Drosophila melanogaster: one gene and its partner. The protein of the gene in region 2 interacts with the protein of the main gene of each other region in a pairwise test. Each region holds a gene or a part of one and is shown on either strand. Other genes may lie near its edges.

Region 1 (7,596 bases), on a different chromosome or scaffold from region 2:
GCCGTATATGTCTACAACCATCGATATAATGTCGGCCGATCTCATCTTCCGCGAGCTGTTGTACTGCATAATGCTGGCATCTATACCAAACGGATCGGGTTGCCAATTTTCCCAGTTGCTGAACTCATCGGTACCCGAGTCCTTGCATTCCTTAATTGTTTCTCCCTTGGCGAGTTCCTCGGATAAGTCCGTGGGCCCCTCTTCAGTCAACCCAGTGACTACGCGTCGCACTGTGTCGTTTCGTTTCCGCAGGTAATCTTTGATTGGAGCAGTTACCATCTCTAAGATGACTCCGGTACTATCCAGATGGCGAATAGCTTTGATGGCTGCCACGTAACCCGTTAATATGTCCATGGTGTTGACTCCAGGATGCAGAATCCTTGCCTCTAGCGAGTTCCTAAGGGATTCAGTGAGGTAGACTCGCATATCTATTTTCTCCATGCAAATCTTTAAGTCATCTATAGCCGGAATGGAATCGGGATAGTCTGTTTACAAATAAATACATGTAGTTGGGGGACTCTTGGCTGAATCTACGGGCACATACCAATTATAATGCTGAAGAACTGACCAATAACGCTTTGGGCAAACGTTTCGTACATAAAGTAAGTCAGTTTGACTTTGAAGGATTTTACAGACTCGGGAACTTCGATATCGCTTATGCTATCCTTAGACTTCCATTCCGTGAATATGTTTGTGAGCCAGGACATTATGACATCCGATAGCCACTGCAAAGGTAGGTAATAAATGAGTTACTTAAGTAGTTTATTTATGACAACAGAAGGTATTCCCATTCAACTTACAGTTTCCAGTTGCTTAAGATGACTTCTGTCGAAGATTCCCATGCATGTATCGCTGATGTGCTCCTTGATTTTAAGCTTGATGAGAGCGGTTAAAGCACTCCCAGTTAGACGGTCAATGAGGTTCATCTCGAAGAGCTTCATGTTTGTCTTGTTAACCATATCCGTCAGCCTTTGGCAGCAGCATTGCTCTGCTTCGAAGTTGCAGCCAACGCAGAGGAGCTCATCGAAAACATCAGAGTCTGAAGGGGAAAGCAAGTGAGCATGGGAACCACAGGAGTATGTATCGGATACATACCAACTGTGGTCAATGCGAGATTTGAGGCCTTGGTGAAGAGCTTAAAGTGCACCCAGTAGAAGGCCCCAACGACCACACTGAAATTGGGTGGCAGTTGAGCCAGCAAGCAGTCCCTTAAGCAGTTCTTAATGCCTTCCTCCTGCATGAGCTTCACCGTCTTTGCGGTGGGCTTTGTCTCAGCTCCAACTAGCTGGATCAGCCTGGGCTTCACCTGCATCAGGCTCTGAAAGCTGTCATGCAGCTCATTGATGGCGTCGATGAACTGGGTGAACAGTCCGTTCTTATCGGGCAGTGCTTCTATGGCCAGAGCTTGGTCGTTAATCCAGCCCTGCAATTTAGACGAGACCAAGCCGTCGTGGATGTGCTTCCAGAACTTGGGCACCAGGACATTCCGAATAGTCGACTGGATTTCCAGGTCCACAACCGCCGCGAAGGTGTCTATGCTGCCCAACACCATCAGGTGCTGGCGAACATTTTGGAATACATTCTCCTCAACCGGATCATTGGATACAGCGTTCTGTAAGAGTTTCTGAGTGCTAGCGCCAATCCCTATTACTGAACCGAAGGAATAAACCTACCGCTCCACCCAAAACCGGAAAGATTCTCAGTACATCCGCCCACAAAGCGTCAAAGTCGCACATCGCTTGTGTGTAATTATTTTAAACAGTGCAAAACATTGCTTGAAACTCTGAATCAAACGCCAATGGTGATGATAATGCTGTTATCGATAAGTCGATTCTATCAACCGAACCGATAGTCGATGAATCTTTGATTTATCAGAAATTATACATATATCTATTATTCATTCTTATAGGCCATTATTAATCATATTCCAAATTTCAAACTGGATCGAGTCCTGATCCTGATGAACTATCAGTTCCCCATCAATTAGCCCATAAATATAAATAACAGTTTTACTAAAATAAATTATATTAATAGATACGGGGAGCTTAGTAGCCAGAAAATAAGAAACAGCAAGAGTTTCAGAAATACAGATGTATGTCTTCACGTTCCGGCAAACACAAACAGTTAGAGCTAAAATTAAATTGCATACGACTTATTTACATACATACATACAAATTGAGATTTGAGAGCCGGCGCTGATCTTGCATAGGAATATAGTTAGATTGCGAATTTATTTAATTTTATTGTACTGTGTGCGTCACCCGACACACGCCCGTGTGGTAGCCAATATCGATTGGATGCGGATGCCAATGGCTAGCGACTTAAGGAGTAAGGAGTAACTATGAAACTATCGTATCTTCAAATGCGTCTGCTGATGCTTTTTCAAGTGGTCGCTCCGCACAAACCGGCGACAGCACTGCTGACAGGCGTAGGGCTTCTCCCCGGTGTGCGTTCGTATGTGTCGGTTGAGGTCGTCCTGCCGCTTGAACCGCTTCTCACACTGCCGGCAGTAGAAAGGCCGATCCTGAACGAACTGGGGCATCCCATACGTGCCGGGTCCGTCCGCCGGCGGTAGCTGAGAGAGGGTATTTACAATTTCTTCGGTCGGTTCGTATTTTACCTCGGGCTTCGCCTGGTTAAGGAAATCGGGCAACTGGCTCTGGTTGTGGCCATGGTTATCCATCTGGTGTTCAGGAGATACGATCTGGTACTTGTCGCTGTGCTCCGGCCGTTCCAGCTTAATCTTTATCGGCTTGTGGTGGATGTCGATAATGCTCACGGGCTGCTGGTGCTGGTTATGCTGCTGCTGCTGGTGGTGGTGCTTCATGCTCGGCTCCCCGCAACCAACCATGGCGGCCATGAAGTGGAAGCCCGAGTCCGACTCCGAATGAATCTGCTTCTTCGGGGGCTTGAGCCGGACTCCACCACTGCTGCTCGGTACTGTTCGCTTCGGGGTGCTGCCCTTTAGCTGGCGGTCGTGGGTAGCTAGGTGCTTGGTGAGGTGGTCGCTGCGGGAAAACTTCTTGGTGCACTGGATGCACTCGAAGGGCTTCTCGCCGGTGTGCGTCCGGAGGTGCCGGTTGAGCTCATCGGAGCGCGTGAATCCCTTGCCGCACTTGGGCTCGCTGCAGACGAAGGGCTTGATGCCCGTGTGCCAGGTGAGGTGGGACCGCAGGTGGGAGCTCTTGCCGTAGCTCTTTGTACAGTTGTCATACGGGCAGACGAACTTGCGCTTGGGATCGGAGGCGAGCGTCGTGGCCATTAGCTTCACACTGGGCATTATGCGGATCTTAGAGTTGCCGTTCCCGCCGTAGTGCGAGTCGTCCTCAGGCTCAGTCTCAACTCCGTGATGGGGCACATTCTCCACATTCGCCTCGTCGTGCTTGACGTCCTCGAAAATCGTCGAGGCCCGCAGTATCATATCGGACGCCTGCTCGTGTATGTTTGCGCCGCTCATCGTGGGAAACGCTGGTGGTGGTTTCATGGGTTCTATGGGCGTTGATGTCGTCAGCATTTGGGGTGTGGGCGTGTTTGGTATTACTTGTGACATTGTGCTTACGTTTGGGGCTCGCTAGCGCCCTATCCGGTATGTCTGGAATCGAGAGTGGAGGTACTTTACTGCCAGCTGCGCGCCTACCGCTCCCTAATTACCAAAATTGCGTTTATCCAAAACTACACTCCTGTACAGGAAACTGTGTTCAGTGGGCGTCGGCCTAGGATTTATCAGTTCTGTGGTCCCTTGTCACCATAGCCAGCTCGGAAAACGGTCTATAGTCGGTCCTGGCGTCCCGCACACATTTTCCAATTGTTTTCGGCTAGCGCGCTTGCATATTCCAGCGGATTTGCTTATTTTACTTTATTTTATTTATATACTGAAGTATATCCATTTAATTGCGATGAGAATTATCGACTAGTCGATAGGACCAAGAGATGCGACTGAATGCGTGTACGGAGATATCGGATTTCAATGTTGTATTTATTGATTGCTATTAGTTTAGCACAGTTAAATATCTAAAACTAAATGTGTAGTTAACATTAAGAAATCAATATAAAGCGCAATGGAATTACATTTTGTTTGATAGATCATAAAACTATTCATCGTTTCTTTTTTTTTTCAAAAAGTACTAAAAAAAAATACTGCGTTGCTGTTTACTTTCGATAGTTCAGACTCGCCCATCCCAAATGTGCACTGCAATAAGATTCGATGCATATTGACATATTGTTGTTAGTTTGCTGAGATGCCAAATAAATCCGAGGAGCTGGGCGAAACGCAACTGACCAAAAGACAGAGGAGGAAGCAGACGATCTGGACGCGGGAGAAGATCGCCAAGCTAATCGAACTTTACCGCTCGTCGGACTGCTTGTGGAACCACTATTCCGAGCTATATAAAAACAAGGATTGCAGGGCTAAAGCCATCGAATCCATCTGCGCTTCGCTTGAAATAACGAAACACGACTATGGCAAGAAGGTGCACAACCTGCGCAATCAATTCAATGCAGAGCTCAAGAAGTTGGAGAGGAGGCTCGAGGAGTCTGGAGGAGATCGAGATTCGGAGAAGGCTTGTCGATGGGAGCACTTCAAGACGTTGATGTTCCTACGATCTGTTATAGAACCACGACCAGGCTATCAACAAGGTGCTCCGGGCAAGGTGGGCTCCTTAAATCGAAATCTTTAGCCCATAAGTTAACCAATCTATCCTGGTTTTTGGTAGAAATTGGTATCGAAGCTGGACATGTGCTACCCGGATCAGGATGTGGAAAAGCAGAGCCAATCCTCGATAGAAAGTCTGGAATCCATGATCATAGAGAACGATGCAGAAATCTGTCAGCCTCCGAAGGTCAGCGAACCCATTCCTCCGATGCCTCCTGAACCTGCGCCGTCTTCCAAATTCGTTGATCCAAATCGAACTGTCGAAGCTCCAGCTGCTCCCTCTCCCTTCCACTTACCATTAAGTGGTCGTGATCAATGGGACGCATTTGGCGAACTAATCGCCAGTGAATTCCGTAACCTGAACTCTGAAGTTTCGCGCAAGAGGCTGAAGCGGAAAATAATGCAAGTTATGCTGGAAGTCGGCGAAGAAGATGATCTTACAAACAGTTGATTGTAGAATTATGAACATGTTTAATACAGCGGACACCGTTTTAGGTATAAATCTTTAATATATGCAGCACACAGATCATGCGAATACGTCATCGCAAGACACTTTGTATGTACATTTTAAACCCCATTCGATATAGAACGGAAGTGGTTGAACTTCGCATTGTTAAGCTATCAAAATCGTAAGGCTCGTTCTCGCTACTGGTAATTCATTTGCATTTTTATTATGGTAGGGGAGTTATATAGAGTACGTGGGACCTAATATTACGGAACAGTCGACAGCTGTTGGAAATTCATGAAGGACTGCGAAAAAGCACTAGATTCAACAGATTACAATTAGACGAGAGAGTTATATCAGACGCACATTTGTCAGAACTTAAAGTCCTTAATGGCCTGCGGCAGATCAGGTAGCTTGATGTCTTTAATCTGTTGCGGAATGTTCATACTCTTCACGGCGCTCACAGCTCGGGCAGGTGCAGCCGAGATGCCCGCTTCCTGCTTGACGATCTTGTTCTGCTCCTCGATCCTGGCCATTATGTCGTTCATATTTGTCTGCAGGACCATTCCGCCCATTACCAGTTCTGAAACGAATTCATGATAGCTGAATCTGAATGGATTGCCAAAGTAGCTTTCCCAACCTGAGAGGATGTGGTGGACGGCATCGGCGTGGAATATCAGGTCCAGCTCACACACGTTTTCGAAGCACTTGTCGAGGGTTTCCACGAACACCTGAATCAGGTCCAGGATTCCCAGTTCGCTCTCCGAGGAGTCCACGCAGAAAACGAAGTACAGCGTGGCATAGTGTCTGTAGATGAGTTTGTAATCCGATCCGCCAATCAAACTGTTGGAGGAAAGAGGTGCTTTAAGATATTCCAGGAATTTGCGGGAACAATATTGCTCACCTTCCGCCCTCCAGAAAGTTGCAAACATTATCGTCCCGCTTGGACACCAATTGGAAAGTCTCTTTGATTATTTGTTGCTGCAGGCTTTCATCCTACAAATGATAGTGACAATTTATTATGAACTAGATTATATGGATTATATGTCGCAGTACTTACGAAATACTGATAGAACTTCGATAGCCGCGGCTTCCCGTGATTGTTAAAAACGAGAATGGCTTTTATCATCTCAACTTCTAAGATAAGTCAACAAAAAAAATGAAAATGTTTAAACTGCCAGCTGTTTTGCTTTTTCGACGAGGGCTGCAAAATCAATACTTGGTATAGCATCTATAATATCGATATATCTTTATCTGACGTATTTATTTCAAAAATCTAATAAGAATCATGCATATTTTAGAAAGTTAGGGAAAATATATTTTTTAAAGCAATTTCTTAAATCGGGTGTTAAAAATCCGTACAAAAAAAAATTCTATGGATTTCTGATTGTTGCCCATCTCTAATGCCTTTAACCTCGCGGTCTCCGATTTGTTTATTTCTTATTTTTATTGAATTATGAATATTTTGACAAAAGTAAAATACAGCTGCAGGTACTCTGGGTTTTATTTTGTAACTCCCTTTAGTTAACGTATAGTTTGCAGGGTGAGCTCGGTTTTAAACAGAGATGTGAAGCAGCACGGAAAGCAATTCATGTTTGATACGCGGGAAGAAACTTCTTGGAATTCAGATGAGGTATCATCCTAAGATTTGGAAAAAAAGAATATAACTCCAAACGGCCATTTCAGGGAACCCCCCAATTCATTACCATTAGCTTGGAGGAGCCACAGAAAGTAGCTGGATTTAGTTTCCAGTTCCAAGGCGGATTCTCTGGCCAAAAATCCGAACTGATCATGTACTCCGCTGACGGAGCCCAAGTTCACCAAGAGCCATTCTACCCAGAAGATATCAACTCCCCACAGCTTTTTCAGATTGCGGAATCAGTCCGGGAAAACCCCTGCTCAAAGCTAAAGTTCGTCTTCGAGTCCAGCACCGATCTATTTGGTAGAATCATTGTTTACGATCTCCAGCTGTTCGGCTAGTCTCTGACCCAATAGATCTTACTAAATGTGTACAAAATCTTCTCTAATCAAAGTGTATAAAATCGGATCATTATCTATTGTGGTATTATCAAAAACATTGGTCCGTAATAGGATGGTCATGGTTATCAGCAATAATTGTGCTGATTCAGCCTGCCACTGCTGAAATTGATATGCGACTAATTTCATATAAATATTTCAAACTAGGTAAGCCCTTTAAGTGCTTACGAGTGTGGATCAAGGTTCAATGAAAATATTTCCACGCGATTCCCCAATTTGAATATCATTTGCATGGAGCTGGCTCGAAAAACACGCAACTTCATAGCGAAGGTGACACTCTAGTCCATGTCTTATCACCCCATATAGAAGCGTCATCAATCAGCTTAGCCCATTCCAATTGAAATTTCGTCATTTATGTATATTGCACCAAAACCATTGTTTATTTGTCCAAAACCGCACAGATAATTTAGGCATAGCTTTATGATTCGAATGCTTCATTTATAGTCGTGTTTCCAAGAGGCAA
Region 2 (7,159 bases):
CACATCATCAAGTTGTACCAGGTGAGTTCATGGCTCCAAGCTTAGACTTTCTAAGTCCAAGCTTTCCAGGAAACTGGGTTACTGGTTTCCTCTTCCAATTACGCTGGCCAGCTACTAATAACAAACAATCAAGCCGCAGTTTAATAAACAAAAAGGCAGGATATGCCCGAAGGGGGAATAGCTTTTCTATAACAACATTTTGGAGGTTTGTTTATCTATAAAGTACACGGTCATGCCTAGTCATCCGAATTTTGTTGCGGAAGGCAAATGCATATCTAGAAACTGGGCCACTGGCTAGACATTCGCAACAGACATAGAAGCCCAACTTAAATGAGCAAAAAGTTTGGAAGGAAAGTTTATAAAAGGAATATGTACGGGGTCTGCTTTGGTTTTACAAGCACATTTTCCCTCGATTTTCGGATTGGATCAGTTACCAATTAGGTTAGGCAGGGCTTGGGGGAACCTAGGGACGGCTGCAGTCATCAGCTGATATAAACGTGCTTGCTAACCTTTCCGTAACTCTCCGAAGGTCATATCGACGCCGTCGGACATCTTCATGATCATGGAGTACGTGAGCGGCGGGGAGCTGTTCGACTATATTGTGAAGCACGGCAAGCTGCAGGAGCACCAAGCGCGCCGCTTTTTTCAGCAGATTATCTCTGGCGTGGACTATTGCCACCGGCACATGATCGTGCATCGAGACCTGAAGCCAGAGAACCTGCTGCTCGACCACAACATGCACGTGAAGATCGCCGACTTTGGGCTCTCGAACATGATGCTGGACGGCGAGTTCCTGCGCACCTCGTGCGGCTCGCCCAACTACGCGGCGCCCGAGGTGATTTCCGGCAAGCTGTACGCCGGTCCCGAGGTGGACATCTGGTCGTGCGGCGTCATCCTGTACGCCCTGCTGTGCGGGACGCTGCCCTTTGACGACGAGCATGTGCCTACGCTGTTTCGCAAGATCAAGTCGGGCATTTTCCCCATTCCCGAGTACCTCAACAAACAAGTGGTCAATCTGGTCTGTCAGATGCTGCAAGTGGACCCGCTCAAGCGGGCCAACATCGAGGAAATCAAGAAGCACGAGTGGTTCCAAAAGGACCTCCCGGCCTACCTCTTCCCCTCGTCCATCGAGCAGGACTCCAATGTGATCGACACCTACGCTGTGGCAGAGGTCTGCACCAAGTTCGGCGTCAAGGAGACCGAGGTGCACAACTCGCTGCTCAGCGGCGATCCGCACGATCAGCTGGCCATCGCTTACCATCTGATCATCGACAACAAACGCTTCGCCGACGACGCGGCCAACCAAATAAACGAGATCAACAACTTCTTTGTGGCCGGCTCTCCACCACCGCCGCCGCCTCCGCCCGTTCCCCAATCATCGATGGACCACCAAGCCCCTCTGGCCACCGTGACCGTTGGCGGAGGTACCTCAGCCAGCTCGGGCACCGCCACACCAGTGCCACCAGTGGCTGGAGGCACGCCTAGCAGCACCATACCCATTCGACCGCATCCGGAGCGGATTGCGCCGATGCGGGACCGTCAACTGGCCATGTCCGTGCAGACATCTGGCGGCGGAGCCTTCCCGGAGAAAACCGCACGTGGCGGCACTCCCATCAAGCGCGCCAAGTGGCATCTGGGCATCCGGTCGCAGAGCAAGCCCAACGACATAATGCTCGAGGTATACCGAGCGATGAAGGCACTCAGCTACGAGTGGAAGATCATCAATCCGTACCACGTTCGGGTGCGCAGGCAGAACGTGAAGACCGGCAAGTTCTCGAAGATGTCACTGCAGCTGTACCAGGTGGACGCCAAGAGCTATCTGCTCGACTTCAAGTCGCTGACCAACGACGAGGTCGAGCAGGGCGACGACGTCATCATGGAGAGCCTTACTCCGCCGCCGCTTAGCGTGTCCGGGGTGATGCCGCTGCAGCCGACCGGCCACCACACCATGGAGTTTTTCGAAATGTGCGCCGCCCTGATCATTCAACTGGCTCGCTAAGGATGAGGTGACCGCCATCGGCCGCAGCGGACCGGATGGGATCTTCTCGGCTGGCGATCCGCACTCGGACAGTCCTGAGGATTGACCATTACCCGGAAGACACAGTCCCACAAAGGAAAGCTGGGGGGAGTTTCGGGCTCCGCGGATCCCGGAGTCTGGCCTTAACCACATGACTAAGTTCTTGCATTCGTCCCAAACCCTTTTGATTTTAATCGGAAACCCAATGTGCAATTATCGGTAGCAGGATTTGGGAATAGATTTTAAAAATGGCCTGCTACTAGACGACGAACAAGAGCTTGGGACTCCGACTCCAGCTTTTCTTTGTGCGGCTGTGTAATCCACATAAAATGTTATTGAACTCGGACACCGCCAACCGCCGTTGCCGCTACGCTACCGTTACCCGCTTTGCCGTATCGATTTCCGCTTCCGGTTAGTCTAAGTCTGTAGGTTCCGCCCGGTCGGCGGGCTTCGATCCGTTTCTGTTCTGTTCTGTTTCTATTTCGATTTATGTTTATAAGCAAGTTGAGTTATTATCCAAACCGCATGTGCACGTGGATGTATTTGTATTATGCCTAACGAATTGTAATTGGAACCTCGTCTGGGGAAGCTGTCAGATAACAACCAGATGTGGACCAAGTTTTATGTATCTGTATCTGAACCAACCAAACAATAAAGCGATCCATTAATATTCTAAATCGATTGTGGACGAAGTGTGAATTAAGAGTAGCCATAATTAAAGTTAGTTTTATTGCATATTAAGGTATGTTGTGCACATTCTTTCAGCATCGATGATTGCAAATTCTGCCTCGGCATTGGGCTTCATATCGCAGTTCCAGTCTCCCGTTTCGTGTGTAAAATCATAGCATCCCTGATCTAATCCACCTGTGCATCGCATCGCCGCTCCAGCTCACTACTGCTTCTGCTGTTGCTTCCGCTTCAGTTTGTCGATTAGGGTCTCGATGCTGTTGGCGTCGACCAGACCAATGAACTTGTCCACTACGACGCCGTTCCTGAAGGCCAGAACAGCGGGCACGGCCTTCACCTCGAAGGTCTCGACGAGATCCAGGTTCGTCTCCACATCGATGACCGCCAGGTCGATCTCGTTCGAGTTCTCAAGCAGCTCGAGCATCTTGGGCGTGAGTATCTTACAGGGGTCGCACCACTCGGCGTGGAAGTTCACGATCACCGGGTTGTCGCTGTTGATCACCTGCGGAACAAGGCATAATACATAGGTGGTGGTTGAACAGACTTTAAAATTGGAGTGCTTTGCTCGGAACTAACAAAACACCTCATTGTCATCCCCATAACGTCACCACAACGTCGAGTATGCCAGATTATGCCACTTATAGGCATAACGTCATAGCTAAAAAGGGGAGATGGACCTGCGGCTGCCGGGGTGACTATCGAGATTGATTTGCGGCAGAATACTGCAGTTTTCATATAGTGAGTGATTCATACAATTGTAGCCAGTGTCTGCTATATTAGTAGTTTTAAATTCCGTCTACTCTGAGATTGCGGGGTGGTCACTTGGGAGGCTACAAAATGTGTGTGTGTGTGTGACTCACGTTTCTCTTATCTCGCCTAATCCAACTGCAATTGATAACTCGGCCATGGAGCGATATGCTGAAGGGTCTTCTGCAGCTGGCTCCCGTTTCTTCGCGGACGCAGCGGCTGGCTGAAAGGGGTTTAAACCGGTATCCAATGTTTTGGGGCTCATTTGCATACACGAGCACAGGCCGAAAACAAAATTGAAAACAGAACTGAGGCGAGTGTGCGCACACATATGTTTGTATCTATGGACGGGTCCACGGCCAAGTACGTCATGGGGTGGATTCGTCCCCTTCCCCTGCCTGCACCCCTTGCTCCTCCCAAGTATCCCAAACCCAAGCACGTAGGCCAGCGCACAAGGTCATCGTTGCCTGCTGCCGTTCCTGGCCATCGCAACCCGTTTCGTTGCATAATCCTGACTCACCTTCTGATCGAACTCGTAGTGGTCTTTGATGACCAGCATTTTGTGGAGGTGCTGCGACTGCGACAGGTACTTCTGGGTGCCCCTGGCCGCCTGGGGCGCCATTCTTTGGCCTCTGCTCTTCGCTCCAATGGAGCAACAGGCCGCCGCCAGACGTGGCGCGATTCCCTCGGCGGCGATCTTCAGCATTGCGGATTGCGGAAATTCAGTACGGGGGCGGATGGGTATGCGGATTCGGATGCGTAACACAGGCACTCTCGCAGCGATTAGATATCTGGCAGGGTCTCGGATGTCCAACTGGTTGTTCCGTACGTGATGTGTATGCGTTTAATGTTTGTTTATAAACTCTGGGCCAGCGCTGCACAACACTGCCACTGGCTCGGCGTTGCCACCTCGCGGGCACTGAAACCACTTGGAAATCAACTTTTCTTGTATGACAGTTCGAAGACTCGAATTGTGTTAAAATATTGCGCTAATAAGAGGATTATTTGCGCGCCAGGGATCCAGTGTAAGCGTATCTTATCTTATTCTTCAACTTTGTATGTGAGTATGTCATGTGGTGAGCTTTGCGTCTATTCCAATTCCTTGCCTTAAATAATGTTTATTTTTATCCCTGTGCCTGAACGTTATCCCTGTCTTCTGCAGCGAAGAACGTTTCCAGCAACGGCACTCCGTACTCGAAGCAGATGAGCCCAACCGTTTGAATTTGGCGCCCTGCTCTCCCCTCTCTTTTCACGCTCTCTGGCACGGGAATTTCGCTGCTCGCAACAACAAAATCTGACATTTGACGTCGCGCGTTCGCTTCGCCCGTTTCAGCAGCGTTGCCGCCGAAAGCAGAGTGTTGTTGTTGCCGTTGCCGTTGCGTCGTGTTGCGTTGCGTTGTTGTTTGCCGTGCCGATTTTATTGTTATTTGAAATCGGTCGCGGAGCGTGCGGTGCGGAGCAGTGCTCCTTTTTTTTTCTACTTTTTGTTTAGTTCCGGGTCAGGGGGCGGTAAGTCGAGAAACGGCCACGAGTGTCCTGCCACTGCCAGTGTAACTATTACTATTAATGTTGGTGCGACCCACTCGAAAACAAGCGCACAGGTTGAAAGTCAATCTCAGAGCATATGCGCGGAAAAGTGATGTTGGAAAAACACTGTGGAGGTGCCGAGGTTGTTGCGTTTCATGCGGTCAGGATGCGACGGGAGTAAATTCGCAGTCCAAGATTCCAATTGAAGTTTTAAGCTCTGTTCCTTTTCTCTCCTCTTTAGGTGTGTGTGTTTGTGTGTTTGTGCTTGTGACCGTCGCGTGTGAGAGTGCGCGTTTTCCACCCCAGGAGCGCGCGCTTGGAAATCGAAAACGCGGTTTTGGTGTCGGGATTGGATTCGTTTCGAGTCACACCCTCCCCCGGGCGTTACTTGTTTCAGGAAGCAGGGATTCCTTGGCACAGCTGTTTGCGCCTTCTTGTCTTCCTTCTTCTTATTTCGCATTTATGTCATCAACACACGTTTTCCACACACACACTCACACACACACACTCATACTCACACATCAGACACGTGCGCACTCAGCCCAAAGCTTTATCCTTCAAGAAAAGCTCTCGCTTGATTGTGTCGTAGTTTTCTTTCTTCTCTTTCCTTCTGCCGAAGCACGTTTATTGTTATTTGTGTTTTGTTTTCCGCTTTTCTCGATTTAACTGTTATCGATTGACGGTGAACCGAAGCCGATGATGAAATTCCACCGAAAGGAGTGGAGCGGAGGAGGGGTAAACAGGAAAATGAATTTCTGATCCAAAGACACAGTTTCGAAGTATTTCTTCGCCAATATCTATGTATGTACATATGTATGTATGTTATTCATAATGAATGTGTTACTGCCATTCGAAGCTTTTTGTTTGAAAGTGAGTCTGCAGCTCTTAACTTTATACCAGCCCCATATGTATATTCTATAACTTCTATATAACTCTATGCGCCTACTCGCCTTGTTCGATTAATTCGAAAACAGTTCCTCGAGAAATATTGGAAAACTACAAACGAAAATGGGAAAAGCTGGAGCACGGAAAGGGGAGCGGGGCAACTTTTATGGTGATGCCTTTGCCTAAAAATAGCAATAGCTCGCCCAGCAAACGTCTCATTTTTCCAAGTGTGCTTCAAAAATGAAACGTTTCTCATTCTCCAAGTTCCCACTACGATCGCCGATTTTCTATGTGCTGCGATCTGATCTGATCGCATCCAATCCGATCCGATCCCATCCAAATCGATCCGATTTGATCTGATCTTCAGTGATCTATATCCGCATCCAGATCGCCGTGGCACGACTTCGAGTAGCAGCGCAGCGCCCCGTGGAATCTAATTTTGGGCTCGTCTTGAGCAGGTTCACTTGGTGCCTGGATGGCGGTGCCCACTCCGCTTTCCCGACTGCATTTCCAGCCCCATGCCAGGCCATGCCACTGCGCCACTGGCTAAATATAGAGCCCCGACTTCGACTTCGGCTTAGTGCGTCGGGATGGGCTGTGTGCCTGCAGAAGGTGGGGAGGGAAGTTCAATTACCTTTAAATGGATTACACAAACAACCAGTAGGGCAGGGGAGGGGCGGAAGCCTATATTAAACACAGGCACGCACTCACACCCCAGAACTAGATAAAGCAACGCAAACAGAGCCAACCAGGCAGAGGTGGAGCCAAGCGATCGGGCCTCTGAACCCAATTCCTATTCCTATTCCGATCCCGATCCGACGCCTCCCCCTTTCTCAGCCTCCTGAGTCCCGGAAAAACGGAAAAAAGCGGAGCAGAGGATGAGCGGCAAGGGGGACGATGGTGCGGCGATGCTGCCAAAAATAAATTTGAACTCAAATCGCAGCGTCAGGCGCGAAGGGTGAGGCGACTGGGTGCCAAGAAACGCTGCCAACGCAACGCATTTGCCTCCAAAGACCGGCCCATGGCAGTCTCCTTTCGGGCCGGGGCCATTGGCTCCTCTGGCAGCCCAGCCGGACCCAGGCAAACGGTCCTCGGAACTCCGATTGGACAACTGAAGTTGAGGTCGCAATTGATCTTGCCAGGTGTGGCAGAGGCCAGCTCAAGGATGCCATTGGGCACTTCGTCCGCGCAGGGAAGTCGCGGAGGGGGCATGGGGAGCAGAGCAAGAAGGCGGGGGAGGCTACGTGGCCGACCTCATTAGTCTCGAGTTTCCAAAAGCTCACGCACACCAGCGTG

The links.
Region 1: the proteins of CG3719 (region 2) and CG3065 interact in a two-hybrid assay, tested with the Drosophila melanogaster proteins (one large-scale study listed by BioGRID).

The regions. Positions count from the first base shown.
Region 1 is NT_033778.4:23,966,649-23,974,244, reverse strand, and holds CG3065 (uncharacterized protein), read right to left. Parts: upstream 3,941-7,596; 5' UTR 3,551-3,940; coding exon 2,348-3,550; 3' UTR 2,012-2,347; downstream 1-2,011. Other genes in the region: mr (morula), read right to left, coding at 1-485, 545-725, 801-1,039, 1,096-1,612, 1,674-1,736; CG10904 (uncharacterized protein), read left to right, coding at 4,239-4,649, 4,713-5,102; or (orange), read right to left, coding at 5,468-5,679, 5,737-5,939, 6,001-6,092, 6,157-6,225; CG34213 (uncharacterized protein), read left to right, coding at 6,553-6,587, 6,639-6,729, 6,783-7,076.
Region 2 is NC_004354.4:1,376,167-1,383,325, forward strand, and holds CG3719 (uncharacterized protein), read right to left. Parts: upstream 4,315-7,159; 5' UTR 4,158-4,314; coding exon 3,972-4,157; intron 3,207-3,971; coding exon 2,910-3,206; 3' UTR 2,719-2,909; downstream 1-2,718. Other genes in the region: AMPKalpha (AMP-activated protein kinase alpha subunit), read left to right, coding at 1-21, 530-1,999.